4 linked regions of the Pelodiscus sinensis genome follow. The protein of the gene in region 1 purifies or fractionates together with the protein of each later gene. This does not show direct contact. Links are inferred from orthologs where the notes say so. Each region holds a gene or a part of one and is shown on either strand. Other genes may lie near its edges. The genes, in order: RAB7A, ARL8B, VDAC1 and VDAC2.

What was found.
Region 2: the proteins of RAB7A (region 1) and ARL8B purify together in Homo sapiens (affinity purification with mass spectrometry; 4 studies listed by BioGRID and IntAct, with this or other methods). This does not show direct contact. The link is inferred for Pelodiscus sinensis from reciprocal best matches to the Homo sapiens genes RAB7A and ARL8B.
Region 3: the proteins of RAB7A (region 1) and VDAC1 purify together in Homo sapiens (affinity purification with mass spectrometry; 3 studies listed by BioGRID and IntAct, with this or other methods). This does not show direct contact. The link is inferred for Pelodiscus sinensis from reciprocal best matches to the Homo sapiens genes RAB7A and VDAC1.
Region 4: the proteins of RAB7A (region 1) and VDAC2 purify together in Homo sapiens (affinity purification with mass spectrometry; 3 studies listed by BioGRID and IntAct, with this or other methods). This does not show direct contact. The link is inferred for Pelodiscus sinensis from reciprocal best matches to the Homo sapiens genes RAB7A and VDAC2.

Annotation. Positions count from the first base shown.
Region 1 is NC_134721.1:25,507,949-25,516,441, reverse strand, and holds the start of RAB7A (ras-related protein Rab-7a), read right to left. Parts: upstream 3,044-8,493; 5' UTR 2,898-3,043; intron 1-2,897.
Region 2 is NC_134721.1:16,316,079-16,323,974, reverse strand, and holds the start of ARL8B (ADP-ribosylation factor-like protein 8B), read right to left. Parts: upstream 3,244-7,896; 5' UTR 3,114-3,243; coding exon 2,991-3,113; intron 1-2,990. UniProt on the Homo sapiens protein: Small GTPase which cycles between active GTP-bound and inactive GDP-bound states.
Region 3 is NC_134727.1:27,818,346-27,826,198, forward strand, and holds the start of VDAC1 (non-selective voltage-gated ion channel VDAC1), read right to left. Parts: upstream 3,069-7,853; 5' UTR 2,942-3,068; exon of another isoform or gene 2,870-2,941; intron 2,083-2,869; exon of another isoform or gene 1,982-2,082; intron 1-1,981. UniProt on the Homo sapiens protein: Non-selective voltage-gated ion channel that mediates the transport of anions and cations through the mitochondrion outer membrane and plasma membrane.
Region 4 is NC_134718.1:8,199,626-8,207,628, forward strand, and holds the start of VDAC2 (non-selective voltage-gated ion channel VDAC2), read left to right. Parts: upstream 1-4,722; 5' UTR 4,723-4,737; coding exon 4,738-4,849; intron 4,850-6,227; exon of another isoform or gene 6,228-7,009; intron 7,010-8,003. UniProt on the Homo sapiens protein: Non-selective voltage-gated ion channel that mediates the transport of anions and cations through the mitochondrion outer membrane and plasma membrane.

The sequences.
Region 1 (8,493 bases):
AGTGAAACTATCTACAAATATTCTGCAGTCACTGTTCAGCTCTCCCTAGAAAACTCCCCTCTTCCCCAAAACAGAGGCACAGTCTTATAGTTTCGAATAAGAAAGGACTTCCCCAAAGTCATGTTTTGCCCATAAATTTATTCTGCTGACAGGTAAATCTCAAACAGCATGAAACTCTTATAAGTTCTGCTACTGAAGTTCAGAGTCCAAAACCACTCTTCTCCTTGGACATTTGAGTGCAGTCCAAAAGCAAATAGGCTTAAGCAACAGAAGCCACTTTGACTTACCAAAAAAGAAAGCTATGGAGAAGCTAGTTAGAATTGTATTTCAGAGCAGTCTCAATGTGCCCAATTATATTAGAGTTCAAGTGTTTTAAGCCATGCTTTACAATATCTATTGTCCCGCCTTAAGCATCTTTGTAGATTAGTTCTCTAGAAACAAAAACAGTTATATTGAGTCTGAGAAGCATTTCCTGACCTAGCTGATAATTTAGGAAGGTTTTTAGATACTAGATTCTGCAGCAGATTAGTGGAGAAAACTGTACTGCTGTAGGGCTTCTTGAAAGCAGTTCTGCTTATTTTGGTAATTACAGTTTAACCCAATCTTGTACTTTCTGTACTAGAATATAACAGCACATGTAGAAGAGAAGTTTGAGATTACACTTTGAATGCCTAAGAATTTATTACATTAGGAAATAAGTCATAATGAAGACCCTTTGAATTCTGAACTTGATCCACCAAATCTAGACAAAGTATTATTAGTTTGTGGATAGCAAGTCATGTGTTTAGTCAGCTGCTGAAGTCACAAGGGAAAGACAGAATGAGAGTTTTTCCTGACTGAGGGCATGGCATAGAACCACAGATTTAAAAAACAGTGAACACAGTAGTCTACCTACTTTAAACAAACTTCATTCCAGATTATAAAAGAGTTGCACTTCAATATGGCTGCCTGGAGAATATTAGCCAAGAAACTGTTTTATCAAATACTTCAGTCTGTAACTGAAAGTTTAACAAAAAAGTAGGACTATTGGTTTTTTTTTTATTTATCTAAGGTGCTGCAGATGGTATGAGCTTTGGATATGCCCACAAAAGTGCATAATACCATCTGTTAGTCTCAGGTGCTGCAGGACTTTTTTTATTTTATTAAATGCTAGTGGTCTTAGTGGCAAACAGGCATTCCAAGTTAAAGCCATAACCAGACAAATGAAGTCAGCTAACTCTAGTAGAGCAAGCTGGGTCACGTACTTCATAATCCCCATCTATATTATCAGGTGTAAGATGTTGACTTGCAATTTGCATAGCACAGAAGAGTTGTGTAGTAGTGAGTGGTGTAGTAGTGGACTGCTACTATTTGTTACCCATGTTCCAAATTGTTAGCAACAAAACAGATCTTAGCATTGAACTTCCTGCTTGTCTGGGAGGAATTTGTAAAACCTTGTGTTTATTTACATGTTTGCCCATGCAGTCCTTCATAGGTTTAGCAGCTCTGTTCCACCAGGACAAGTTTTTGAAGAATCATGAAAGACAAAATTAAACTTGGCCTATGACTCAAGTTTATGTCTTACCTCAAGGTTGTAAGAAGTCAGTATAATCAGAACTATTTTAAAATACAGCTAAACCAATACATCACCTCTGCTAGCAGTTAGAAAAATATTGAAATCCCTCCTTAACTTAGCTTTTTAATTAATCAGGATAGCAATGGTTAGCCTTTTTAAAGGCATAAGAGCTGATTACAGCCTACAGCATCTTAGCATCAAATTTAATTCTTCCCACTGACTCAGTCCTTATGCATGCAAAGAAGTTACTTGCGCAATAACTGCCAGTCTTTTCAGTTGCCTATGTTATCCTGTTATTAACTGGACTAAGTGCAGTCTGCTAGTAAGTTAATTATATCCACTGATTACACTGAATAATATTTCAAATTATAGTAGTTTTTTCTGAAAAAAAAAAAAACTTAGGGATATTCCTAGCCTCTAGCTGTTCTCCCCCCCCCCCCCACCCACCCCCATTCTTCAGAGTTTGCATAAACCCAAGCACAAAAGGTGGGTGACAAATCTCCATCAGAAACTTTATCATTTCTACTTGAGCTCTTACTGATTTTCATATCAGGTCAATGCACCTGACTACAGGCAACTAGAGAGGCTGAAGGAATGGCCTCTTCCTTAGAAGAAAACATCCACATCGACCAGGAAAGCTTTATATTCAAAACATCAGCTTTTACTAGCTACTCTGAAGCATTATGAAAGCATCATTGTTACATATAGATGAGGGCAGGAGGAAAGAAAAATCTTAAACCCATCCCAATCCTTACACACAATGCCTCCCTAACTCAGTGAGCTCTCGATGCAAATCCCACTAACAAGGAAGAGCCCCATTCTCTGGCACAGGATAAGACACAAAGGAACAATTTTCCGGGTCCATCAACGCCTCCTCCCCACCCCATTTAGTCCCCGCAACTGGAAAGAAAAGGCCCCTCCTCACAGAGCCGCTCCCCCTCCTACTCCAACAAGGGAGGAGCCCCGCTGCCACCTCCTCCTAGAGCCCCTCCTCTCGCTTTAGTCCCAGACACCGGGATCTACTACCTCCCCCTCCTCAGGGGGACTAGGGTGGAGCCGGCTGCCTTTTCCTCCCTCCCCCAGCCTCAGGGCACTTGCGAGAGCAGCTGCCGCCCGCCGGCCCCGGCGAGCAGCCTCCTTCGCAGCGCCGGGCCTACGTTCTCCGCCCCCACCAAGCAGCTGCCCACCACGCAGACCCCGCCAAGCGCCCGCTACCTCCGCCAAGCCACAGACCCTTCCCCCCCTTTCGCCCCCGCCCAAGTCCCGAGCCGCCAGGGGAGCAGCAGGCCACAACCCAGCCCAGGGAAGGAGAGAGCCCCACATCGCCAAGCCGGCCACTCACCACGCTCAGCAGCCCCGCGACACGAGCTCCAAGCCTCGCTACCTCCACTGCTGCCTTCGACTCCGCTTTAATGGGGCCAAACAGCCTCCCTGCTTTCACTTCCGCCTATCCCGCGCCAGCTTCCGGTCACGGGACCATTCGGTGCTGTAACGTCAGCACGCACAGGGTAGGCGGGGGGGAGTGCAGTTGCCGCGTCACACGTCCAAGCACGCCCGCCTTGGCGTCATCTAGGTGGCCATCTTGGATGCCAGGCTGCGTGCTGTGGCGCCTCCGAGCATTCTGAGAAAGATTCTACCGGGCCACTCTGGTTTGTTTACTTTGCAGCCACAGAGCCTCATGGCTCCCACTGGCTGCGGTTCGCCGTCTGCAGCCCAGGGTAGCCACGGGACACAGTGTGACCTGTGCCTATGTATTAATGAAGTTCTTTACAAACATATTAAAAAAGTAAAATCCTATCGAGCAATGTTAACAGAAATTGAATTTTCAGATCAGGAAAAGAAGGGGAATGGTTTATGATTAGGACTAGAAGTAAACAAACCTGGATTCTTTCCCCATCTCTGATACAGATTTTCTGTGGACTTTGGGCAAGGTACTTGCCTGCTCAGTACCGTAACTCATTTTCTCTGTATGTCACTTGGGGATAATGCCAGTTTCAGTGTGGTTTCATAACGTTTAATTCCTTAAGGTCTGTAAAGGATTTGGAGAGTTATAGATAGAAGTTACTATTAAAAGTGCTATAATCTATTAGAATCTGATATATATATATATTATATTCCTATCTGGAATATTCTTCATTGCAGATAATATATTACACAATATTAAAGTTATACTACATTAGAGAGAACCAAACAACAAAGGTGTATGTGAGAATGGGATGTCGCAGGCTGATCTAGCTCACTGCAGGTAATACAAATCTTAATGTTGATTGCAACAGGAGCTGGATCAGCTTTTTAGAGCAGAGGATAGGGAATCCTCTTGAGATTGGGCAAATCTTTACTTTCTCTGTGCCTCCATTTCCCCATCTGTTGGATGGTGTTAATTATACTGATCAATCTCACAGGGGTTGTGTTGTTTATTAATGGCTATAAAGTACTTTGAGATTATGAGATGGAAATTTCTACATAAGGTGTTGATTATGATGCTTCATTGAACAAAAGAAGAAAGACATAAGAAAAACCTCAAAGACAGAACTCATGAAAGTGCATCACTGCTTTGACTGTGATGCTCATGCCATCCTCACTGTGCAGCCTAATTACCAGAAGTGTATTGGCTACAGCATCAAACTGGGGCACAACATTCAACTTCTCCACCTGTGTGTTTCCTGGAAAAAAGACCATAAAATGCTAGGTGGACAAAGAACAGACACTACCAACAGCCATAAAGTGCTGCTCTGTCCACTCCTAAATGTTCCTTTTTTTCCTGTACAATATTCAAAGGAGGCAGTTTCTGTGTTTGAAAATTCTGCCTTCTTCTGATCACAGAGATTCTGGCAAAAGTGCAACACATTTATTTTAAATGGGATCTTTTTCTTATGCATCACATTAGTGAAAACCTAACACAAGCCTGGGATTTCTTCCTTTGCACAACCAGCATCTGTGCCATGCAATTCTTTTTTATTGTGACTTGCTAATTCCTGCAGGCAACGCTTTCTGTTATCAGACTAATACGGACCGATCATGGTCCTATTGAAGTGAATGAGAATTTTGTCATTGAGCAGGATATACAGCTTATATGTAAGGGCCACAGCTTGTTGAAAATACCATTGTTAAACCCTAAGACAGAAAAATAAAAAATATGTAACTATCATGTCAGATGCAGATATGGACTGAAGCCTCATGATTCTTCTATCTGCATCATAGTGACATACCTGTCAACAAAAATGAAAACAAGGATAGGCTAAAAGAAAAAAATGTAATGCAGTGAAAATCCTGATAAGATGTGAGGCCAGCAAAATAGTTTTCATAACCTGTTAAGAAGTCAGTGTTTCCTGACAGACGAGTCTGGTTAAGAATACACAAAATCTAATCTGAACAACTGGATCATTATGAAACCAAATATCAGTTATTTACAGGGAAATATATTACTGTGGAAATCAATGGTCTCGTATGTGTCAGTGGATTTGTGACCCTTTTCACAATTTACTGACTTCTGGCTGTCAGTTTCACCAAGTTAATATACATCAACACACTTCATGCGTTCATCCCTTCACAATTAGAAAAAATAATTTCCCTCACATTTGTCTTTTTTTCCTCGTGTGACAAACAATCAAACCTGCTTACTCCAACTAAATACAATGGTATGTGAGTCCCCTTATATTGTTCCTTCTCTGACTTGTTTCAACATGGCCCTGCTTTTTTCCTGCTACAGGTTGAACTGCTCTAGTTTGGTATTCCCAGTCCAGCAACATCTGAGGTCCGTCATTATTTTAGTTAGCTGGATGTCCACCTATGGGTGTGGCCAAGTTTCCCATGGTCCCATAAAGTTTGTTTATAGCCACCAGTCCTGGCTCTCAGTGTTCTGTGCTGTTATTTACCTCTAATTTACCCTTAAATGTCTTCCAAGTGCTCGGTAAGCAGTGGAAGTGTTGGTAATGCTGTTAGACAATATTGACCTCCCATTGTCTGGCAAATTCTCTGGATCGGCACCGAACAGGTCCCAAGCGTGCCGGACTAGACAGTTCATTCCCTCAATTGTATCAATGCAAATAAGAGTAAATGTATCAATACAATTTTTGTAAACCAGAAAGTGTAGACAATGTGTTGTTTCTTGGATGAATGCATGTGACGGAATGCACCCTGGTATTTACACCCTGCACACTAATCTTTGTACAAAATATGCCTTGAAGGTATCATTTGAAAAGTGATAATTTGCTGGTTAGTAGCATCATGGCAAAATGTATGTAACAGTAATATATGTAAAGTTATGAGCATAAGATGAAATCACAATTGAAGTTATTTATCATACAAGTCTGTGAAGTAAATAAACCTATTTCTCAAAGATGAATGACAAGTTGATGCCTCTAGCCTGGTGTCATCAAAAGTTTATTGGCTGTTACCTATTCAGTGGCCATTCTTTGGCATGGAAAGGTGGGTAAGGCAATAGATAAACAAATCTGAAGCTTAGCAAACAGAGGTGAACAACAACAGCATAACATCTCTTTCCCCACCAGCCTCTATACCGCCTTACTCTCAGCTGAAAATAACTTTATCTAGAGGTCATTCTCAGGAAAATGCATTTCAAGAAGTGACAGAACTATAAAAGTGATGGGCAAATCAACCTGTGTTCTCTCTTTTCAAATACTCAATTATTATTCTGTGATTAAATTGTCTATTAACGTTAAAACAGATCTCTAAGACATTCAGGCAGTGCTAGACAGCATGAAGCTACCGGTTAGAGGATTTCCACAGTCAAGATCTGGCCCTAAACAGGGCATGATGGTTAAGAGTCCAATTCTGGACTTAGTTCTATAACACAGTCTGAATGTCAAAGTTCAGAGGATTACAAAGATGCTGATCTACAGTTATCCCATGTCTGGACACATGCTACATAATGTATCAAATTGATTCTGACTAATTCTGATCATTTTCATTTTTTTCTCCAGAGTACAATAATCCACCCCCCATTGCTCCAGTACATCACCGAACAGCTCCTTGAGAACGTCCTTGGATGTTTGGCCTGACTACACAGAAGGAAGAGATAGACTTGTGGATTGTGAATATTGAAATATTAACCACTGGCTATATAAAATATTTAACATTTCTCAATGACACCTCACTTGCTTTCTTCAAATTCCTCCTTCAGGCTCACTTCTCTTGACAAGCTTCCCAAAGCTTATCTCAATTCCACCACCTCTACTCTTTGGACTGACTTCCTCAAACTAACATTATAACATTTTAACTTACTAAAACAAAAAAAGGAACCAAAAAGATGTGAACACAAGGTCTCTTACTGTTGCAGTTCTGGAGTAGTCTAGTTTTGTCCAGACACAGCCCTTTATTTGTCATCCTTTGATTCATTTTGGCTAATTGAGGCTGTGACCTCATGAGCACTCATCTTAAATATCTTCCATTGTTGCATTACCACTTTTGTAATACCATGGGTGGAAGTTCCTGTACACTGATCACCTGCATTGTCTAAGCCAGCTTGCAGTATGAATACTGAACTACTGGTCAGCACCAGTGTTCCCTGGAAGCTGCCTGCTTGCCTGGCCACTCAGGACAGATTGACACACAGCTGATTAGCAGAGCACCCACAACTGGGTTTTTTGTTTCTACTGGTGGTGCATATTCGTACATGCTTCAGTGCATAGCAAATATTTATTCTGCACATGGATATAAAAAAAATCCACACATGTATGGAAAAGATTGAGGAAACACTGGTCAGCATTAGTGCTTCCATGTGGCTACCATCAATGGATCCATACTGGTGCTACAACAACAGTGGTAGATTTAAGTGAGATGCCTGTGTACACAGGATTTAGGGTCTGGACAAGTGTGGTTTTGAGTACTTACTGCAAGGTGTCCAATGCCTTCAATTCCAACTGACTTCTGTATCAGTGAGAATTCTGAGTACTTTATAGGGGCTGCTTACAACCTGTACATGTCAGCATTTGTCTTCTCGATTTGTCTGTAAAAGTCAGGACCATCTATCCTGCTGTAGGGATACTAAGAATAACAGTATAACATCCTTTCTGAAACCTCAAGTACCAAGCATTCTGGTCTGATGCATGTTACATTTCTCATTGCAGTCTTTATTGCTTGTGTCATATGTTATGTTACACTTATCCTTTATTTATGGAAGGTCTCTGGACTTGTCCACAGGTAATCTGACCACTTGTCATAAGTATATACCATTCTTACAATTACTCACTTTTTTTAATACTAACCCTAAATGTTTCCCTACCAGAATGAATTACTGTCTGGGTGACAGTGACTCTGGATTGTATCTATTCCAAAGGATTAAAAAGCTGGTGCATCAGAAATTCTCAGTAAGGATGTTAAGAAGTGGGTAATTGGCTATTTGTGTAGGTAATTGGCTAATCGATGAGGGGAGGCGCTCTGTTGCGGCTTGCACCAGATCCAGGAGCTATCTCTACCGCATCTCTGCAATTTAAATGCAGTAGGAGCCAGGCACACAGGCAGCCTGGCTACATTTAAACTGCAGAGCCACAGCAGGGCTAGGACTTGGACCAGGCGCAAGCTGGGACCGGGACCACTGTGGCTCTGCATTTTAAATGTAGTAAGAGCTGTACATTTAAAATGCAGAGCCACAGTGGGGGTAGGTCCCAGATCCAGCACGAGCCAGGACTGAGCAGTCCCAGCTTGTGCCAGGTCCTGGACCACTGCGCCTCTGAATTTTAAATGTAGTAAGAGCTGCCTGGCTCTACTACATTCAAAATGCAGAGGTGCAGCAGTGGTAGGTCCCAGACCTGGTGTGAGTTGGGACTGAGCGGCTTTTAAGCCGGCTCCTTCCAACACAGGCTCCTGTCCCCGCCATCCTCCCTGCTTGCTGCATCTGATACAGAGGCAGTAAGGCGGGGGGGGGGGGGGGGGGGAACAAATATTTGACTCGACTACCTGATAAGCCTAGACTTATT
Region 2 (7,896 bases), about 9.2 Mb from region 1:
GAGAAATGCAAATGAGGCTAGCATGGAATATCGCTGAGCCTCATTTGCCTATCTAATAAGTCACCTTCTTGCCACTACGCTGATTATTTTCGGGAATAATGGCATTGCGCAAGAGGGTTTTTCTTGCACAAGAAGAGGCAGTGTAGACAGCTCCTTCTGGCGCAAGAGCCTCTTCCGCAAAAGTGGCAGCTCATTAGATATGCAAATGAGGCTGTGATATTCCACACTTAGCCTCATTTGCATATATCTGGCACAAGACTGCGCCAGTGTAAACATAGCTTAACAGTTTTGTTGACTAAGCATATCTGAAGGACTAGACAATGTCTGAATTTAAAGAAGAAATGTTATCCAATGAGTGGAGTGTCCTAGTTATACAGTACAGTAAAACTCCAACTGTCCATCATCCAGTGGTCCGGCACTCCTGATAGTCCAGCACCAACTGGAACCTGGAAGTGCTCCAGCCAGCCCGACAATGGAGCTGCTCTGCCCTGGCTTCCCCAAGTTTGCCACTGGTCAGTTTCAACAGCAGTGGACTTGGGGAAGCCAGGGGCAGAGCAGTTGGGGTGCTGCTGCCAGGTTGGTCCCACAGCACCACCCTCTCCCATGCTGTGCAGTTCCCTGCCAACTCCCCCTCCCCCCCCAGGCCCCTCATAGCCCCCCTTCCAGTACTCCAGCATATTTGATAATCCAGCACCCCCTGGATCCTAAAGGGGGCAGATTATCAGACGTTTGCTGTATTAGCATGACACCAAGTTAGAGTGACATTGTTGATTAGGCAATGTAACTGTCAGAACTGTTACATTTACTGAGTAAGACCTAAATTCTTCAATGACATTTACTGAGTAAGACCTAAATTCTTCAATGACATTTGCAAGTTGAAAAGTTTCTTTTCCAACATGTTAGCCAAACAAAACTCTGATCAGGGTGGCATGCACAGAGTAAAACTTACACATTGATCTGAGCAAAGCTTATCCTCCATAAACAAACACCACCTCTGAAATGTACCGACACTGTCAGGGGACCTTGAATTGTTGTATTAAGCCTTGCATGCTTTCAGGGACAGTCTGGTCTACTGGACCCGATGAATATGCTATCTGAAAGTTCTAATACATTTGAAAAACAGCCACAATACTGAATTAATGAAAATGCTTTTGGCAGAAGAGTGATGAAAGTAGTTGAAGTCATAAGGACTATCCAGGCTTAACTGAACATACATAGCATAAAATCTGTGTGGCTGTACAAGAAGTCAGACAGTTTCCATTCTTCTGCAGCCAAAAAGTTGGTTTGTGTCACCCAAGATAAGAAGCTTATCTAACTTGCACTCAAGAACTCAGTGCATCAAGTGATTACCAAGTCCACACCAGACTAGCTTCCTACCTCAGTTTCTCTGTATATGACTTTGACTATCAGTTATGTCCGTTACTGCATGTGAAGGAAAACCAACTAAGTCACATGCATCCTTTCCCAACTGTAGTATCGAATGCCAATAGCAGAGCCAGAGGAAATTTACGCAATTTAGTGGTCCAAGCAAGTCATTCAATTTGTCTCCTGCTCAGCAACAGTCACAATCAACCTCACACAAGAGGCATATTTATAACTGGTTTAGTAAATCCATCAGACACAATAGTGAACCGCAGTTATTTCCTTCAACTATTCAGAAAGCGAATGCCCTCTAGAACATTCTAACAGGAAAAGGTATAGATGGATTAATTCAGAGTATTTTCAGCAGCTGAGAATAAGCAACAGAGTGCAGAAACAAGAGAAGAGTGCAGAGTCAGGAGCAGGACTTTTATGACAAGAGAAAGCAGTTAAGCAGATTATTGGCAGCCCATCAGAAATAAAATGGAAGAAAGTGGTTGAAGACATTCTTCACATCATGTGGTCATTAATATAGTTTGCCCACCCACCATGACACAGAAAGGTGTTCTAAAACCATGTCATCAAGCTAGCCTGAGTCAGTGATTGGCCTGTGTACACATCAAGCAAACTATGCTACATTTGTTAGTACAGGAAGCACTGTTCTGTAGCTATAGTTCTAATGAGGACATCTCAACCCCAATAGCCTTTGTTTTACAGAAAATGCATGAAAGGATCATCAGCAATAAAGAGACCATTATTACAGTCAGTATTTTATCCCACAAAGCTCAAAACACAGAATGTCCATTTTACACTACTGTACTTCTGTATCCCATTTGCCTGGATGCTATCTAGGACACTGTGCCAGGAACTATAAAATGCACCAAGACCTGTATGTAACAGATTTGCGAGAACTGTAGACTATGGCTAATTGCAAACCCAATTTAAGCTCACACAGGTGGATACCAAATCTCATTCAGAGATCACCACCACCATCTCATTACTAAATAATAACATTGTAGCAAGGCCTGTAGGAGCAGCTGGTAGGAAGCACTGCTCTCCCTACCAGATAGACTAAAGATTTCCATTGGCCTCACTGCAGCATCAAGGCTGGTCATCTACTGCAACCGCCTGTTTCGAGGGTTGGCTCTTCAGACATACCCTAATGTCACTCAAAGATGGCCCCACTCCCAAAATCCACCCTTCCCACATGCAAACCAAAGCATCATCCGCCAACCACGGGTGGAAACCTGCACGGCACTCCACCCTGCCTTAAGGCTGGCAGAGAAGAGCAGCTGGCTCAGCGTCCCCACACACCCTCCAATGCCAGGCCTGTTTAGCACCCAAACAACGCATTGGGGGACAAACCTAGGGACCCGGACACCCTCTTGCATTCTCCCCCCCCCATTACCCACACGGGACAGAGAGGCCCCCAGAGCCCAGCGGGAGCCAGACAGACAGGCCCTGGATCACCCCACCCCGAGACCCCGAAAGACCCCCGGGGCCAGCCGCAGGGCAGGGTCATGCTCCCCCCTCTCCCCAGCACGCGCCCCCAACACCGAGACCCCCCCCCCATGGGAGACGGGCCTAGGGACCCGCCTGACTCCCCCTCCCCGGGCAGCCCCGCCGCTCACCGCGATGACGTTGACGAAGGTGGTCTTGCCCGAGTACTGCAGCCCCACCAGGGTGAGCTCCATCTCCTCCTTCCAGAAGAGCGAGCGGAACCAGTCCAGCAGCCGGGACAGCAGCGCCAGCATGGCGGCGGCGAGCCGGGCCGGGACCCTCCGGCACGAGCGCTGGTGGCGGGCTCTGGCGGCGCGAGCTGGCGGGCTGCGGCTCCAGCCAAGGCCAACGCTGCCCTGCTCGCCGCGCCGCGGTCATATGACGGCTCGGCTGCCGACCCACACGCCGGCCTGCCGGAGCAAGAGCGGCCCCCGGCTGGCAGCCGCCGCCAGCGCGGCCTACGGCGCCCCCTGCCGGCTGGATGTCCGCTCTGCGCCCGGGGAGGACTCGCTCTGGCGCACCGGCCCGCTGGGCTTGGGCAGGGCAGAGGGAGCGGGGAGTGCTGGAGCGGGGGCGAGAGCGGTGACAGCGGCTGGGGCAGGGCAGGGGATAGGCAGGGCCCCCATAGGCGGGGGGCACTTTAAACGGGCGTGGGGCGCGCTCAGGCTGCAAATGGTGGGATTTGGGGGCGGGGCTGCTGTGAGCCAAAAAAAAAATCTGCTTGGGGACTGAGGGAGGGAAAAGCACAGAGCCTGGGCAGGGACAGGGGATTGTCCCGAGCCAAGAGGCAAGGTGAGCGGAATAGAGGCTGGAGCAAGGATAAGGGATAGGGCCGGACTGGGGCACGAATAGGAACTAGGACAAGTCAGTGAATGATGAACGCTTGGCTGTGCCCTTTTTGCGCCCCACTGCCACCCTCTACCGTCAGCCTGCTATATATCCCCCCCAAGCACCCACAGGGCTCCACCTCCAATACCTGCACAGTTCCCATCAAACCCATACTAGGGAGTAGAAGGGTTCGATTTTTATCCATCCTACTGTGTCAGTTTCACTGTGGCTGTGTCTAGACTGGACAGTTTTTCTAGAAAATCAGCCGCTTTTCCGGAAAAACTTGCCAGTTGTCTACACTGGCCGCTTGAATTTCTGCAAAAGCACTGACTTCCTACTGTAAGAAATCAGTGCTTTTTGCAGAAATACTATGCTGCTCCCGTTCGGGCAAAAGTCCCTTTTGTGCAAAACTTTTGCGCAAAAGGGCCAGTGTAGACAGCTGAGATTTGTTTTCCGCAAAAAAGCCCCGATTGCCATTTTCGCGATCAGGGCTTTTTTTCGGAAAAGCGCATCTAGATTGGCCACAGACGCTTTTCCGCAAAAAGTGCTTTGGCGGACAAGCGTCCGTGCCAATCTAGACGCTCTGTTCCGAAAATGCTTTTAACAGAAAACTTTTCAGTTAAAAGCATTTCGGAAAATCATGCCAGTCTAGACGTAGCCTCTATATACAACAAGTATGTGGATAATGGTGGAAATTTACAGATAGGCAAGGTAGGAAAAATGCTGCTTGAGAATTTGGTTTAGGGGTATTAGGTGACACTTGCCACTATCATTTCCCACAACTGTAAAAATGTAAACCAATAAAAAAAATTAAAAAAGCTTAAAAATAATCATTGATATTATCTGTCAAAATTCTAAAAAAATATTAACACTGAATTCTGGCCAGACCATTCCAGATGTTCAAAACCTTTGAGTCAGCTCCCTCTTCCCCATAATTGCCTTAAAAATCTTGAGATTTTGAAAAAGAAAATATACCTAGTAGGTTATTTTTATTTTCCTTCTGCTTTCTGCACCTTCAGGGGGCACTTGGGTCACTTTTTACAGCTTTTCTCCAATATCATTAGGGTTGGAATTTTTTCCCCAAAAAAAGGAAAGCTAATATTTCCACACAGGAGCCAGGAATTTTAAACATAAAGTATCACAAGATTTATGATAAATCATCAGAGTTGGCAACACTGCTATGCCTCACTGCTGCCCACCCAGTCTCCCATATTGCTTCCTCACCCCACCATCCTCGAAATCCCCAATAATTCCACTGCTTCTGATTCCCCATCACCTTCCAATATCCTGCACTGCTTCTGTCTGCTATCTGTCCACTGCTACCCTGACACCTTCACTGCTAACCCCCTGGTCCTGTGATGTCCCCTCTTAAACCTGCTGCACAATTAGCCCTGTGCCACCCCAATACCCCCACTACCCCACAACCTCCCCATTCTCCACTGCTCCCCACCCCACTACTCTCTGCTCTCCTACATTGCTCTCACTGCCCTGTTAACAACCACACCCACACACAGTGAAGCCTCCTATGCTACCTCCTATATCTATCCACTTCTCCCCACACACTTCCTCCATCTAACAACCCCACACCTGCTGCAATACTACTGCCATTACCCCTGCTAATTCCACCCTTGGAAAGTGATTGTTTATTACAGCGCTTCCCAAATTATGGGCTGCGGCCTGGAACTGGGCCGCGGGAAAAAAATCCCAGACCTCAGCGTGGCTGCCGGGAAGGGAGCGGGGCAGGGCAGGCTGGGAGGAGGTTTGTGGCGGGGTGGGAAACCAGCCACCGGGAAGCAGGGTTGAGGGCAGCGGGGTTGTCTGGTGGAGACTGGGGGGGAGGGGGGGAGCGGCCGGCCAGCCGGCCGGCTGGCAGAAGCAAGGCTGGACGGGAAGCAGGGGGGCTGGATGGGGGAGATCGAGAGGAGGAGGATGGGAGAACCAGCCTTCGGAAGCGGGGCTGGCCGGGGGGGGAGGTGTTGGACGGGGGAGATCGGGAGGAGAAGCAGGCAGGGGGGAGCAAATCGGCTGGCAGGAAGAGGGACTGACCTGGTCACACAAGTGAGTCCAACCCTCGGGGATTCCATTCTGCCCCACCCCCTATACCCTCCCTCGAGTAGTTGCGAACTGCCTGGCTGGTAAACACACTCACACAGTGTGAGCATATCACCAGCCAGGCAGTTCACAGCTACGGACTGATACACCTAATTAGAAAATACTGGACAAAAATGTCCAGTATTTTCTCAATTTGTTTCCCGGACAGAATTCTCAAATACTGGACTGTCTGGTACAAAACCAGACACCTGGCAACCCTACCCCTCCTTGTACCCTCCCTCCTAACCAGATACCCTACCCTCAATCTGCTCCTGCTCCTGCCTCCTGGAGTGCCCATGTGGTGCCATGTCCCCCAAGCCCTGGCCCAGGCTGGGCAGAGGATGCAGCCAGGTGAAACACTGAAAATTTATTCATTTTTAATTCATTTTTGATATGTGTTTATATTTTTGGGTTGCAAAAAACAGTACTAAAAAAAACGGGTTCCAACTAAAGTAAAAAAGTTTGGGAAACCCTGCTCTAGCCAGCTTTCTGTCCATTTTACAGTCCATTTATCCAATCCATATTCCCTTAGCTTGCTGGCAAGAATATTGTGGGTGACCATATCAAAAGCTTTGCTAAAACTGGCACTGGGGGCTTTGAGAGGACCAGAAACAACTTATTTGAATATTCAACATTGCTTAATGAATATGCAAATATGCAAATGAATGTTACCGGTCCTCCAAAAGCTCATGAATCGATTTACTGGTCCCCATGTCAAAAAGTTTGGGAACCCCTGGTTTATTACATTGAAACTTACCGCTGGGACTCTGTGCTAGTTTGAGAATGAAAAAGTAAAATTGATCAGCCTGATTGCCTGGGCTAAAATGAGTGAACTATATAATGGAAGCAAATAATGTCATTGGGGAAAAGTAGATTAACAATTTAATGTTAGGTTGATTTCAGTGTATAGGTCTGGGCAAGGATCCACATTTCGACTCACAGAATTTTTTAAAAATAAGAAAAAGAACAGGGACTGGAGGCAAAGTGTATGAAGGAGGGTCCTCCAGCTTTGAAGCCTGCTTCCACCACCTCCCATTGATCCAAAATAGTCCATCTGTGCAACTTTGCAGTACAAAGACATATCTATTTATTTACTTCGGTCTTGGAGCAGCAGGGGCTTGAAATGGGCAGAGGTTCTTCTTCACACAGCGCATAGTCAATCTGTGGAACTCCTTGCCGGAAGAGGTTGTGAAGGCTAGGACTATAGCAGGGTTTAAAAGAGAACTAGATAAATTCATGGAGGTTAAGTCCATAAATGGCTATTAGCCAGTATGGGTAAGGAATGGTGTCCCTAGCCTCTGTTTGTCAGAGGGTGGAGATGGATGGCAGGAGAGAGATCATTTGATCATTATCTGTTCAATTCACTCCCTCTGGGACACCTGGCATTGGCCACTGTCAGCAGGCAGGATACTGGGCTGGATAGACATTTGGTCTGACCCAGTATGGCCATTCTTATGTTCTTAGGTTTGTGTGCAGAATTTTATAGTTCCCTGATAGGTCAAGTTCTGTTAGGATCTGTTAGCTGTTAGTTCCATCTGATTTGATTTTTTAAAAATTATGTCAGTTATCTAGAGTGTTAGGTAAGTACTCTTTTGTGCCTTCTTGAATAGACATATGAATCAAGAACATGAAGTCCCACCTCACTCAAGCTTTTTACTCCTTTGTGTTTCATGTTTGAACTCTCTCCAAATCTCAAAGAAAAATGCATCTGAAAGGGCTGTCACCTGTTTTAGTAAATGATATCTTACATGATTTCAATATACAACCATGAACTGACCCAAGGACTATCAAAAGATTTGATAAGCCCATACTTTTTGATTTAAGGTTGTGACAAAATCTCAAATGAAGCTAATCCCTTCTGACATTTGGATTCATTGTATTTCACGGGCTAGCTGAAATGGTGTTTTATATATATATATATATATATATATATATATATATATATATATATATATATATATATATATGTGATTTTACATAAGTTAAGTCACAATCCTGCAGCTGTTTCCACATGGGTGCATCCTGTGGTCTGCCTCCATATGTAATTGTAGGAGTGGCTTTAAGTAATAATAATCATAATATGTTCAGAACTTCATGTGATATACTATATGCTACACT
Region 3 (7,853 bases), on another chromosome or scaffold:
CTCCCCGTTGTGACCATCAAGCTAACGAAGGTTGTGAAAGCTAACCAAGTGCCAAAGATCCTATTATTTAAAAATAAAATCACAAATTAATCTCTAATTGATTGTGCAAATACATGTATAGGAAGCAGTGAGCAATAATGTGACCATTGGAAGCAAGGATGGGAACAGAATTAAGACAGTGATTTATTTGGCCAGTGATATCTGAGTTGCCAGTTATATGACCAATGCAGGACAAGGTAACCAGTTCAGAGGGCACAGTATGCCTGGGCAAAGCACTGAAGAGCAAACCATATGATACTTCTATTATTACATCAGCACGCCCTCAAATTAATGGGTCTGACTAGTTAATATTGAGGGTAACAATTGGTTCCCCAGTGTATTTTTGTTTGCTAGTTCCTATCACACTACAGGAAAATGGCTCCCTGAAGCAGCCAGCTTGTACCTGCAGCGGTTAGGGGCGGGGGTATAGGTTAAATCCATTTTCTCCTTCTATGCTTTTCATCTGTCATTTTCTCAAAATATGTATGTCTGGGCTTTGCAATCTCACTACTTAGATTCTGTTTGACACCGTCCTGCAGGTAAGCCACAAGACTGAATCGGGGATATCTTTTTGGTTTCCATACCCAATTCAGACTTTCTTGCACTACCAGACAAATGCTATAGCAGGATGGGGGGGGGGGAGGGGGGAGAAACAGGAGGAATACAGAAAATGACGGGCCAAACAAATGACTTGTTATGTAAAAATGGAGCAGGTCTTGTACTTTAAAGAGTTTTCACACTGCGAACATCCTTCTTCAAAGAGATTCTGACAATTCCTACCAGGGAATGAACAAATCTTCATTTCTGACCCTCACAAAGCAATCTGGTATGCAACACAGAATCATTATCACTGCTCCTTAGAATTGTATCCTTTGGTATATATGGTTGTGACAATTTTCTTCCACTATTTGATCTGAGGAAGTGGGTCTGGCCCACGAAAGCTCATCACCTAATAAACCATCTTGTTAGTCTTTAAAGTGCTACATAGTCCTGTTTTTTGTTTCAGCTACACCAGACTAACACGGCTACATTTCCATCACTATCCTTAGAAATAACTCTACTCAACAGCATGGATACCTTCCACTCCAATTTTACTTTAACTGATGGCCAGTGACAGAAAATACATGGAGACAGAGCTACTTTACACCAACAAAAATTGTTCTTCCAGATCACACGTGACAAGACAGTGTGGAAAAACTTTCATGGCTGCTGCACAAGGCTGAGCCTGATCATAGGTTAAATGAATTCAGTCCCTAGCATTCTTAAACTGGTCCTTTACCCAGTCTTAACATTCAGTTAACATATAAATAACTTCTTTTTTAAAAAGTACATGTATTTTGGGAGTTGGGTGTGTGTGTTTTATTGAATATCTCATGCTGAATTTCTCTCACTTCTGGAACTCCACTAAACCCTACAATTCATTCCCACTTTTCACAAGAATACGGAAAATAACAGGCTGGAATGAGCCAGTTAAAATAAGGTAAATTACTGGCCAAAGATTCTGTGATGAGTCATGCTATCATATAACAATATAAGCAGACATATAGCCAGTGACCTTTGCTTTATATGAAAATGAAAAATTATAAAAAGCTGCACATATCTCAGGAAGCATGCTTTCAGAAACATGTACACGTCAAGGGTTAAAGGATAATTACCTTAAAGACAATTCTCAGACTGATTAGCAGCTAGTACTACCACTCCATTAAAGACAATGGGATTGTAGGGAGAGTTAATGGCAGAATTTTGTCCACTACATGGAAGTATCCTCATATAACCAAAATTCTGTTACCTGTTATTGCTCACATTTATATCAGTCACATAGCAAGTCATGCTTCAAAGGATCAAAACTCATCTGAAATGAAAGATTATAATCTACACTATTTCAGAAAAAGTTTATATAGTAAATTGTTAGCAAAAATATTCTTATTTTGCCTCCACGTACATTTTAAAACATGCAAAGCTTAGCTGCTATGGAATTTCCTCCTATCATTCCTGAGACCAATTGAAGCAGTTCACATTTCAGGATCCTGCAGTTTTAACAGCCTGATGGACAAACAGCAAATATGTTTTATTACTGTCAGGCCTCAAAAAAAAAAAAAGAAAAAAAAAAGGTATGAAACAGGCATTAAGGGCATTCAGAATGCAAGGGGAGGAGGAGGCCCTGGAAGTATGAGCACCCAAAATCCAACCAAGAACAGGGATGAATGCAGTCCAGATAATGCACAATAGTAAAATCTGGTTGGTGGAGAAGTTACAAATTGTAGGCACAATAATTTACATCCCTCTCCTGGCTATGAGAATAATCTACATATTGCATCAGCTAGTAGAGCCCTGCACTGCGATGTAACCCGTCCTAGGGATTCGCCGGGGGGAGGACAGCAGACTCGCATGTTCTAGTCGGGGCCTGTATGAGAATGCGGTAGGGTAAATCTTACACGCCTTCCCCAGAGAGAAGGTCACCTACAGACTGGCTCTGGGGGGATGACGGGGTGGAGAAGGAAGCGGGAGATGCCATCCTGCAAACCCCTCCCTCTCTGAGCCAGCTGGCGGCGGGCATAAGCCGGGGGCGCTGCCTGAAATAGGGACCACGCTGCCGAGAACATCCGACGCCCTCTCCGCATGGCTGCACCACCCCGAAGGTGACTGGAGGAAGACCGGCTCAGCCCAGCCCTTTGCATCCAGGCGCCCGGCTCAGGCTCCAGGGCGGGGGAAGGGAGGCAGCTGCCAGGGCCTGGCCGCAGCACAGAGCTCCGGGCCTTTGCAAAAGGCACCGCCCGGCCCCATCCCTCCTGCGGGCCGCCCCCTCTCTCCCCGGCCGCCGCCCGGTTACCTCTGCAGAGCGGCCTGCTCGGAGACAGGGAGGAGGCTGCGGAGCGGCGCCGCTGCCGGCCCACGCGCTTACCTTGCTCGCCGGGCTCTGCGGCGGCTGTAGCCGGGCTGAGTGACAGCTGGGTGGGAGGGAGCGGGGCGGACCTAGGAGCCCGGCCTAGGGAGAGACCGCGATAGCAGCCCAGACACTCCCTGACAGACGGGAGACGGGACTCCCGCCCCCTCCGGAGCGGCTGGGGCTGCCTCGCCCCGCAGCTGGGTGGGGAGCTCTTGCAGGGCTTGGCAAGGAAAGGGGGTTCGTCAGATCTCCAGCAGCTGCCCAGGGGTTTAACCCGGTGCTGGGCAGAGCCGCGCTGGGCTCAGCCCTGCCCTGGCAGCGGGTGGGGAGCATGATACCCAGAAGCCTCGTCCACCTTCAACTTCTGGGATGCCGAGTCTAGGGCACGCCGGGGTGCTGCAACCCGCACCTCTGGCTCCAACGGGTTTCCAGCTGCTACAGGAGTTTATATTTGGTTCAGTGGTTTTTAGCCTCCCCCCCCCCCCCACACACACACACTATACAAATTGTTCAGCGCCCCCCTGCTTTTGTCACGTTAGAGCAGGAGTCTGCAACCTTTTCAAACCGAAGAGCCAAACTACATTAAAATTCAGAATAAGTGCTCAACAAAGAGCCCTCTAAAAAGGCCCATTTGAATGACTGAAAATATACAACTTAATTTTATTAATAATTGACATGATGACTAATAATGGCATAAAGGAAACATTGTATTCAAGGACTTTCTTACATGGGACTTCTGCTGCTGCATATTTTTGCACATTTCTTTTGACGTTTACAAGGAGTGGAGAGGATGGATGGTTATTAACATGAACAGTTAAAGGTGAAATAGACAAAACAAATTCTTGACATGAGTAATTACACTTTTTTAAATTTTGAATTAATGTTTCATTTACATTTAAAAAGTTGTGTGTATTTGGGATTTGCAAAAGAGCCATATTTGGTTCCGTACTGAGCCATATTTGGCTCTAGAGCCATAGGTTTCAGACCGGTGCATTAGGAAAACATTTCAGGTCAACTATAAATCTAATAAAACCCATGTCTGGAACTCCTTTATAGTTCTAGTTCTGTGGTGTCCAACCAGTTCTGCTATAGTGAAGTATATAGTGAAGTAGCTACACTCAACTGGCCAAATAGTGGCTAGTGGCTAGCATGTTGGACATGGTTCTAGTGGAAACAGAGCGTGTATTTCTCACTTCTATTTTTAACTGAAGAAATATTCCCTTGCCCTTTCTGCTTCCCAGCTGTGGTATCCAATGTTCCCTCTAATGTTTTCCATCCAGGTGCAGAATAAATTTTGTTATGCAAACCAAGGCATGTGCAGATGTGTACTACCAATAGAAATGCATGCTGCCAGCTGCGGATGCTCTGCTAATCCATTGGGAGGCACCTGTATCTCTCCTGGGTGGCTGCCCAAGCTGTCAGCTTACAGGGAACACTCGGGTACCCTAGTGCTGTGGGTAAGAGAACCAGAAAGTGAAACATATTCTCTTAGGGTATGTCTAGACTACATGGCTGCATCGACGGAGCCATGTAGATGAGTTTACTAGACATAGGAAAATAAAGCAGCGATTTAAATAATCACCACTTAATTTACATGAAAATGGCCGCTGCGCTTTTTGGCGGCACAGCGGGGCAGTCTGGACACGCCACAGTCGACAAGGGAAGCCTTTGTCAACCGCTCCGGTATACCTCATTTCATGAGGCATACCGGAGCGGTCAACAAAGGCTTCCTTTGTCGACTGCAGCGCGTTCAGACTGCCCCACTATGCCGCCAAACAGTTGATCGACACAGCGTGGCGGCCATTTTCATGTAAATGAAGCTGCGATTATTTAAATCGCCGCTTCATTTTCTTATGTCTAGTAAACTCATCTACATGGCTCTGTTGATGTAGCCATGTAGTCTAGACATACCCTTATTGACTATAGCACTGTATGCAGTGTAGAGGAAATATGCTTCCTGTCCCAAGGACTTTACAATCTAAGGCCCTTATCCAGCAAACACAAATATATGTATCTTCATTCCCAGCAGTAGTCCTAATGTCGGTGGAGTTACAGGAATAGAGCTTTTCACTTACTTAAGTGTATGTAGTGTGGTGGTCAGTACTACACTCAACAGTAAGATTGTGCTGGCTCAGACATGGAAGATAAAGTTAAAAGCTGCAAGTTGTATGAACTCTGGCAAGGTGTACGTCAGGGAGACCCATTATGCTGAGGTTGCAGTAATCAAAGACCAGCATCACCAAGGCAAGACATAAGTGTTGGAACTAGGGATGCCAGGAGTGCTACTGCACCCTTTGGCTTGAGGTGGTTTGCATTCTACACTGGGTTTACAATTTGGTTCAGTGGCTCTGAGAATCCCCATTATAAAACCTGCTCCAGCACCCCGGGACAAGATGTAAAGCCAATGCACTGGTTGTCCAATTCCAATCAGTGCAGGATAGCTTAGCAACATTATTCCTTGAAACAATAATAGTCCCCTGAGAAAGGGGTGTTGATTTTGGTACTGTTAATATTTCTGGCCTGAGCCATCTGCAAATATTTGGGACCTTGCATTAGGAGGAGAAACTGGTGATACAGTCAGGTTATTTCTTTGATACAGTCTTGTTAATTTACAACGAATGTACACAAAATCCCATTTCCTTGAACCTGGTAGGAGCAAACAACAGAAGTCAGGTTCCTTGCTCACAATCTCAAGTCTCCTTTTATAGCCGGAACTCTGCCCAAAACACTTCCTCTTGGCTTTCTCTTAGGGCCACACTATCTGTGCTTTGCTTGCTGTTTCCTGCTGCTTTTTCTGCTGCTCTGTGCCTGCAAACTCTGGGGACTCACTTTCACCCCTTTCTTCCTTGTAGATTTCTTCTATACCAGTATTTACTAGATCCACTGATTTTTGTTTTGCAGTTGTGGTTCCATTTTCTAATATTTGCTGTTTTCAGAAACATTTAGTAAACGAACAGGAGTCCATTGCCAGTCCCACCCTCAAGAATCTTAACAGCTACAATCCCTCTGAAAATCTAGATCTTAAAGCATGTCTCAGTCACTCTCCATCCTCCTTTTGCTTAAAAGCTATCCCAGCATGCTGCTGGAGGCAAGACAACTTGCTCACTGCAGACCAAATGCCTAAAATTATATGTCTTTCTTGCACCACATCTTTAAAGGGAATTTCCACAGAGTGAATTAATAGGTTGCTTTTCCTGGCATTTATTACACAATTATTAGTCATAATGAAATCCAGACCAATTATTGCCTCATCCACTGTCCCGCTATTCAGAGTTCTTGCTCTAATTATAGAAGTCTAAGTTTCAGACACAATTTCCCCCATTTTTGGATGGGTGCAAATTCCCGAGTCCCTGTCTTCTCAGGAAACCAAATAGGTGATTTAATTTTGGATCCCCTCTTACCTAAAATGTTGCTAGAAGAAATGAGGTGCAGGAGGAATTTACGGAGCTAAAAATCACTTTGAGAAAGAAATCAAAGGATCACAGACCACAGTGGAAGTCAGTCATCTGGATGAGGAATTGGGCCAGCCAATAACAGGACATTTGCAACAGTTTTCTGCCCCATCTTTAGCCGGTGTATATCTAGATTATATCCTGGTGGGATCTAAGCCCTCTGAATAGGAACTCGTATAAATGGTTTGTGGTAAGATTCAGACTGCCAATTTGAAATTGAACCCAAAGAACTATGAGTTACTCTAAAAAGAAGTAGTCTACCTTGGGATGACTGGAAAGGCATACTTGGACATGTGAACAAGGACATTGCCTCTCATCATTTGATCTTATTGTGTTCAGAGAAACAGGACTTTGTGCACGTTCTTTGTAAATCAATAGCACTGTTAAAGAAATACCTCGCTCTATTTCTCCTCCTACTGGAAACAACCTGCAGGACCCCAAATATTAGCAAAGTGCTCAGGTCAACAGGGTAACTTCTTGACTACATTTACATTGGCATAATCTTGCGCAAATAGGCTGTGTCTACATTGGCACCCTTTTCCGGAAAAGGGATGCTAATGAGACACTTCGGAATTGCAAATGCCGCGGGGGATTTAAATATCCCCCACGGCATTTGCATGAACATGGCTGCTGCTTTTTTCCGGCTCGGGGCTTTTCCGGAGAAAAGCACCAGTCTAGACGGGATCTTTCAGAAAATAAAGCCTTTTCCGGAAGATCCCTTATTCCTGATTTTAAGAGGAATAAGGGATCTTCCGGAAAAGGCTTTATTTTCCGAAAGATCCCGTCTAGACTGGCGCTTTTCTCTGGCAAAGCCCCGAGCTGGAAAAAAGCGGCAGCCATGTTCATGCAAATGCCGCGGGGGATATTTAAATCCCCCGTGGCATTTGCAATTCTGGAGTGTCTCATTAGCATTCCTTTTCCGGAAAAGGGTGCCAATGTAGACACAGCCATACTCTTTAACGCAAGAGTTCTTGCGTTAAAGTATTTACGCAAGAGAGCGTCTACACTGGCATGTGCCTTTGCGCAAGAGATGTACTTTTGCACAAAAGCATCTGTGCCAATGTAGATGCTCTCTTGCGCAAGAAAGCTCTGATGGCCATTTTAGCCATCGGGCTTTCTTGCGCAAGAAATTCATGTTGCTTGTCTACACTGGCTTCTTGCGCAAGAACAGTTGCACAAGAGGGCTTATTCCTGAGTGGGAGCATCATAGTTCTTGCGCAAGAAGCACTGATTTCACACATTAGAACATCAGTGTTCTTGCGCAAGAACTCCCCGCCAGTGTAGACAGGCAGCATGTTTTTGCGCAAAAGCGGTCGCTTTGGCACAAGATCACGCCAATGTAGACACAGCCCTTGTGTACAGTTTGGTCCACTCAGATAGAAAAGTGTTATTCACATTTAGATGGTGCCTAAATATTAGTGTGATGGGTGCATTATAAATACTAAATCAGATTAGATTAGAAGAGGTGAATTTAC
Region 4 (8,003 bases), on another chromosome or scaffold:
GGGAAATTTTCAGTATGAATGGTTCCCTTTTTGGAACAAGTAAAGGTATTTTAATGGGAACATGTTGAGCAACCACAATTATGAGCAGTTCCTCCTCTTCTAAGCCCAGCACCAAGTAGCTGGCTGCAGTTCAGGTACTTTGGAAACATGCACACATCCATACACATGTATAGAGTGAAGACTTTCCAATAGCCCCCTCTCTCACGCACACACACACACGCATGGCAGATGCATTCCTCCCTCTCTCTCTCTCTCTCACACACACACACGTATGTAGGTACATAATTTTCCTACAGACCAACAGCTTCATTCTCTACACAACCCTGAGTGGAGTTCCCTGCTGTGCACTGAATGACACAAGTGTCCCGTGGGGAAAATAGTGAGTATATAAAGACAGTCATAACGCAGCTCCACAAAGAACTGAATTAACCTCCATTCTGGCATTTCCTAATTTTTCCAGTGCTTGAGTCTGTAACCTTACTGTTCTTTTGAACTCAGGCTTTCTTAAGCAAAATACAGGACTATGTAGCACTTTAAAGACTAACAAGATGGTTTATTAGATGATGAGCTTTCATGGGCCAGACCCACTTCCTCAGATGAGTTTTGTCAACTGTACATGGTTGTGGTGCTGTTTGACTCTTCCCTCAAACATTTTAACTGACCTGCATTACCCCAAAGTGATGTAGAAATGAATAGTTTTATTTAGAAAAGACAATGGTTTTCCAAATGTTTTTTTTACCGGGTAAAACTTATCAGATAAATATATTTTAAGATCTCCTGTGTTTTCTGCCCCATACCTCGTGCCCCCCACACTGAGGCCCAGATCCTGGAAGGCAGTTAGACACCTACCTATCTTTGAGGAGCTGGAGCTTAGCCTCTACATGCCTTTGGCGCAATGCAGTAACAACCAGGGCAAGGGATCTGATTGCATCTTAGTTAATTGCTTGTCATGCTCCATCTTCCCTGTTGCTCCCTCGATTTGTAAATTATGCTGATTCCCACCAATGTGACTCTTTTATCAATGGGTAACTTACACCTCCATTGAGGTCACCACTGAATTTTGCCCCATGGACGAAATTCAGCCAAAGTGAAGACAACTCCACGGAGGGCAGTAGGTTAGCCCCTCTTTACACCATCGGGACTTTGGCCCTGGGATTGATCCAGTGTTGGAAATTGGAATTATTGTGTAAAGGGGTTTTCACGTTAAGCTGCATGCTGATATGGGTCAGAGTCAAAGTCGATTCTGGAGCCTTGCATATAATTGCCCTCCCATCTGGATGGAGCCATGTGTTGGTAACTATCGTGTTTATATGTTCACAACTATTAAAGTGTCACTTTCATTCTGTTTTAATATTGTTTAATCTGTAATAAAGTTTTGGTCTGGGAAATGATACTAAATGACATTGGAAACAAAGCTGCATGTGCTATGTAGACTTGCTTGGGAGACAGGGGACAGCTCGGTCCCAATCCCATGGGGTAACAGACATCACTTGACCCCTGGAGTATGGGACGGACTTTGCAGAAAGTCCTTCCACTTGTACATGGAAAGGCCCCAACTGGACATACCACTCAGAGTGAGGGGGTATCCCCTTCCAGAGGCTGTGGCCCTGCCTGCCCAAAATGAAAGATTTTTGAACAGTTAGCCAGGAGACTCTGCAGGGTGGGGAAATGGAGCTGCTAGTTAGTGGTTACTATCAGGGAAAAGCCCCTGGGTAACAGAGGCTCTTGGGGAGGCTGACTGCCGTTTGGAGGAGTCAGGCGGCACCGCAGCAATTGTAACTGAGGCGAGCAGCCTCTTTTCTGTTGGGAAACTGATGCCAGGACCCCTCCAGCAGCTTTGGACGGCTGTAAACAGTAAAAACAAACTTGTTCTTCATCCGGGACGTGATCCTCTCACGCCTGATTTCTCCAACACTGCTTCCAGTCATCGAACCCAGGAACTCACTGGGTCAGCGTCCGTCCTGTCATCCCTGGGCCCCAACCTTATCTCCGCGCAAGGCAGGAGTAACAGCACCAGCCAACTCGTTGCCCTCCACCTCCCGTCTTCAGTGATGGCCTTTGGGACCCTCAGGGGACCATTCTTGCCATTGCTGAGTTGAGGGATTTTGAGTCACACAGGGAGGAAATGGTTAATTATTGCTGCATTGTTGGACATTACTCATTTTTTCCCTGATTCTCCTGCTTTTGTCCCCATTTCCTGCCATTTCTCTCTCTCTCTCTCTCCTTCAGTCCTGCCTTTCTATAAATAAAACATTGTTTATTCCTATCAGTTGGTGCTTGATTTCCTGTACTTATAAATTGTATTGTCCTAGTGGTTACTTTGGCGTATCCAGGACTGTCAATCACTGTGTTACTCCTGCCTCAGCAAGACAGAGGCCTAGCTGGTGCTAAACTGGGTGTTAGCTCCCAGAAGCCCCGGATCAAACAAACACCTCCGCATTCTGCCTGCCTTTGCTTTGCCTGCGGCTTAATATTTGATGCCCTGTGGTTCCCGGGCTTCTCTAACAGTCCTCCTGTGGCATCCAGACAGCTAGGCTCTGTCTACACTGCAGCACTGTTTCAGGATACCGGAGGCATCCCGAAATAGCTATCCCGTGTCTTCACAGCAAGCCCGTTACTTCAAAATGTAATGGGCTCACTATTCCGTCGTCCCTGTAACCCTCATCCCGCGAGGAGTAAGGGATGTTTCAGGACAGCGGGTTATTTGAAAATTTGGTGCTGTGTGGATAGTGTCAAATGACGAAATAAGCTATTTCAAAATAAGATGGAAGTAAGATACACAATTTGAGCTACACAAATTGCGTATGTTATTTTGACCTAAGGTGCAGTGTAGACGTATCCCCATTGGACACGCACAGTACCTGACAGCTTCACTAATCCCAAGGAAACAGGATACACACAGCTTGACTAGTACAACTCATGGTCAGTCCTTTATACTATTCCACCATGGATTTATAGGGAATGAATTGTACATTTCCTTTCAATTTTTCTTATATACCTAGTATTCCTCACTCACTATCAGGGACTTAAACCTATTAATAAAAAGAGCCACAACCTCCGTCTTCACAGATCTGCATGCAAGTTTCATTAGAGGCTCCAGTCTAGGAGGTGTGTACAGCAATGTCTTCTCCAGTCTTTTCCATCCATGTGTGGATTTTTTCTATCCACATGCAGAATATTTTTTTATATGCACCGAGGCATTGGTGAACGTGCACCACCAGTGGAGACAAAAATACGAGCTATGGGTACAGGCATGCCCTGATGTAAAAGACATTCACAACAATGCAACTGAATCATATAAACATGCAAGAGATGGCCTGCAAAACCTCATTTTTCACCTGAGAATACCACGGGATTTGGGGACAGCCCTTTCCAACTTCCTTAGATTGCAGTGCCTCAATCCTACAAATACTTAAGCCCAGGTGTGACTCTACTCCTGAGAGTAATCTCATCAAAATCAATAAAACTCATGAGTAAAATTACACGCCTCAGTGTTTGTAAGGGCCAGCATTCCCCTGTAGCCTTTCCGGTGGAAACCACTGGCTAGCAAGAGAGTAAGTGTAGTAGCTGGGTGGGTAGCTGGGATGAACGTAGTCAAGGGAATGCCATTCTTTCAAATACTACTCCAAGTAGGAGAGCCACCTCCAGATGAACCCTTACAGGCCCTTAGCATTGCACGAAGTAGGGCAAGACTTGCTGAAGTAGCAATCCCTTTAAAGCAGCACCTAGTACAGACATATACTAGGGAAAAGGATGTTTTAACCCATCATAATCAGTGACCATACCTAGAAAATAGAAAATACCTCCTGCCATGCCAGGAACTTTATGAAGGACTTGACTTAGTAGCCTAGAAGTTTCTCTCTCTTTCTGTGGCCCTTCTCTGGATAGCTGTACAGAGGTCTCACCTCCTCACAGTGTCCTCAAGTCACCTATTTTTCCTCATTTGTTAACTGGAGGATATTGTCCAGTACTTCGGTCTTAAATGTTAGTTGCACCTCAGTCCATTAGCAAGTCTACCTGATATAAATCTGACTGCTCTCTGACGTGCACTTGGATCTGCAGGCACCAAAAATAAATAGCTTCTGAACAGTAAATGTAATCAAAGAAACAGTAACAGATTATGAGAAGTGTGATCCCAAGCCTGGAAATCAATCCCAAATTTCAGTCATATCCTTTCATGCTGATCCCTCACTGTGGCCTGAGGGAAGCTTCTTTAGCTCCCTCCTTCAGTTTGCCCTATCTGTAAAATGGGACTAATAGTATCTCATGAGGGTGATGTGAGGTTTAATTAGTGAACAGTTGCAAAGCACTGAGTACAATTAGTGCTGTATAGAACTCAGGCAGAAATGAGACCCAGCAAAACTCGAGCACAACAGAGGTTAACACTTTTACTAACTACTATTTCAGGTGCAAACTGTTCTGCACATTTGTTTACATCTCTCAGATGTCATTACTCCCATTTCAATGAATTAGGGACACGGGGCTCTTTTTCTGAACCAGCTTTCCTATGAGCGTTAGATTGGCAAGGACATTTAGTAAGTTGAATGTTCTTAGCTTGTGTTTTTAACAGAACCTCTTATGCCCTATTAAAGCAGAAAACTCAAAGGACCCCTCCCCTAAAAGGCTCTAAAATAGCTCCTCCTATAAGGGCTAAAGTCCCATTCATTTAGCCACCCTTGAGCCTTAGTAAAACAGAGTGTATAGCAGGAAGTTAAAGCATAGCAGCAGTGTTTGCTTATGGACTCGTTCCTTGAGGCACAAGGGGAAACCTCCAGGGAGATGGAAATCCCACCAAAGAGAAAAAAGAAGAGAAAGCATTCAGCCAGCAAAGAAAAACACAAATGTGCGAGTAAGTACAAGTTTAATCATGCGCCCTAGGTTGGCTGCTATCCCCTTCCCTTAGATCCTTAATTTTCTCTCTTGCAATTGAATTCTCTCCCCCCCCCCCCCAACTTTTATTTTCTTGTTATGAAAGAATAAGGAGCTTTGGGATTGACTATGTATGAGTGAATAATTGGGAACTTGCAGCCACCACCTGCAGAGATGCCCTTTATAAAGCCAAGTACAACCAGAGGGAGTTCAGTGTCCTTTACTCCAGTGATCCTATAGACTAGAGAGAAGGGCACCTAGACTTCCCCCCCCAGCTCAGGACTGCAGACTTTCAAAGTGTTCCAGGCCTACCATTGGCATGACTGTGAGCATAGCCATTTCCTACATGTGCATTTGTGCACATTCAACTAGTGCAATGCCTGTGTGGATGTTCTGCTTTAGTTTTAAGAGTGACTTCTTTTGGTTTATTTCAATCCTGTTCCTAACTGGCTTAACTAGAAAGAAGCCTGGAATAAGAACGTTTGCACCAATGTCTTGAAATTGGTTTAAAATCACACTGCAAGTTAAATGGGGACAATTCAATGTGTGGGCAAGTCCTTGGCAGAGTTCTGGCAGTTGCTGTATTGTTAGGGGAGGGGATTTGGCATTCTTTGCTCCCCAGGTGGGGAACTTAAGGCCTGGCGGCTAGATGCAGCCCTGGGCTTACCTGGATCCAGATCCCGAGGTTCAGGGTCTGCCCCCAGCACTGGGGAGCCCACATGGGCGCTCCAGCCACTCTGCAGCCCCATTGCAGGGCTGGAGCACACAAAATCTACTAGGCTGGGCCCCCCAGGCTCTGGTGTACCAGGAGAATGTGGGGAAGCATCTTTCTCCATCTCAGTCAGGGGCCACACCAGTGAGGGTCTGGTGGGGTTTTTTTTTTTTTTTGCTTCTTACCTGTGTGCGGGCCCCGACTGATTTGTGTGTGGGTCAGTGGTCTCTGACCCAAAAAAGGTTCCCCACCCCTGCTGTATATGTTGTGCTCAACTCTTCATGTCCTGGGTTTCTAACATTCGATAACTGGTATCTGCAGAGTCCTTGCCTTTTTTTTTTTTTTTTAGCTTTGATCCATACAAAATGGTGATGGTTAAGGAATGTAGGCTGGAGGAACTGGCTGGCTGGCACAGATAGTGGAGGAAAGCTAATATAGAGAAGAGAATAGGGGTGGGGTTTTGACAGTGGCTCAGACTCTGAGAAAACAGAGTTATGAAGCCAAAAGAAGTTGCCTATCACAGTAACCTTTGCTTTCCAAATATACTGAGTTCCACAGTAACCCTCCTGCCCCAATATTCTGAAAACTTAAAGGATGCATCTGTAGCTAGAGAGAAACTGAGGGATGGATGCATGGGTTTTTATACCGTTAACAAAATCCTGACACAAAACCGGAAGGGTGCAGTCTTGCTTCAGCTTTGGTCTTTATGTTGATTCATCACTGTTTCTGCAGGATGGGACGGTTGTTTCTTACATTCTCTGATTTCTAAAAATAAAACCAATCAATTTTTTTTAAAAAAAGAAGCATGGTTGCTGGTATATGGAACAGAGATTTGTTCTTAACTATTTTTTGGTTTAAGTAGTGGACTTGTGGCTTTAAATAATGCAGTGTGGCATAAATTGTATAAGTTCATTTTGTATTCGACAAGACATCTCTTTTCTAGTGAATGTTCCAATCCACTAATTTCCTCCTCCTATCCCTCTTCCTGTCTCCCCAGTTGCCATTCATTCCTTTCTCCTGTGCATTTGGTATTAACACACTAATACGTTTTCTCATGTCCAGTACTCATCATCTTCATTTAAATGTATTAGCTTGTTAGGTCCTCCAGAATGTATGTATTTATGCTGGACCTGAAAACTATTCAGTTCACCTCTGCATATCATTTATAAAAACAAAAATATGCTGGACCTGCTGGCTCAACAGCTGCTCTGTTTTCCACAATCCACCTTTACTGCCCTATATTCTGATAAATTATATTATCATATAGTGTATTGATTATACTCTCTTGTGGAACCTAATTTTAAATGAAAGAGGCAATACTATTAGAGGGGACTAAAAACCTTAGAACAAGCTGTGCCATACACAGTTCCTTGGCCGAGCGAAAATATTGTATTGGTGACTAAGCAGTTTCTAGTATCAGAGGGGTAGCCGTGTTAGTCTGAATCTGCAAAAGCGACGAGGAGTCCTGTGGCACCTTATAGACTAACTGAAGTGTAGGAGCATAAGCTTTCGTGGGCAAAGACCCACACATGCATCTGACGAAGTGGGTCTTTGCCCACGAAAGCTTATGCTCCTACACTTCAGTTAGTCTATAAGGTGCCACAGGACTCCTCGTCGCTTAAGCAGTTTCTGTGGTGGGATTTGTCATAAGGCATGATTACAGAGACTGGTGCAAACCAGTCATGTGACACTCAGTCTAGCCTTGCTTTCCATTCTTAGAAAAGGATCACCCCAGGGACCAGGACCACTGTAGCAGGGAAGGAGGGCAGCCCGGGATGGTTTCAGTGGGGAGTTAGGGAGGTGTGCAGTGCACAAAAAGGCTTTGGCAGCTGTGGTGAGGAGAACTTGTGCACCGGGGCAGTGGACATGAAAGGGTGGCAATGAGGGATACAAGTACAATCCTTGAGGCACATGTAAGTTTTAGCTGCCTAGTGGTACCTCTTATGTTGCTACCAGAGGCAGAATTTAGGAAAGCACCATAAAACACACTGGCTGCGTCTAGATTGGCATGATTTTCCGGAAATGCTTTTAACGGAAAAGTTTTCCGTTAAAAGCATTTTCGGAACAGAGTGTCTAGATTGGCATGGCCGCTTTTCCGTAAAAGCACTTTTTGCGGAAAAGCGTCCGTGCCAATCTAGACACGCTTTTCCGCAAAAAAAGCCCCGATCGCCATTTTCGCAATTGGGGCTTTTTTGCGGAAAACAAATCTGAGCTGTTTACACTGGCCCTTTTGCTCAAAACTTTTGCGCAAAAGGGACTTTTGCCTGAACGGGAGCAGCATAGTATTTCCACAAGAACACTGGCAATCTTAATGAGAGCGTCGGTGCTTTTGCGGAAATTCAAGCGGCCGGTGTAGACAGCTGGCAAGTTTTTTCCGGAAAAGCGGCTGATTTTTCCGGAAAAACTGGCCAGTCTAGACACA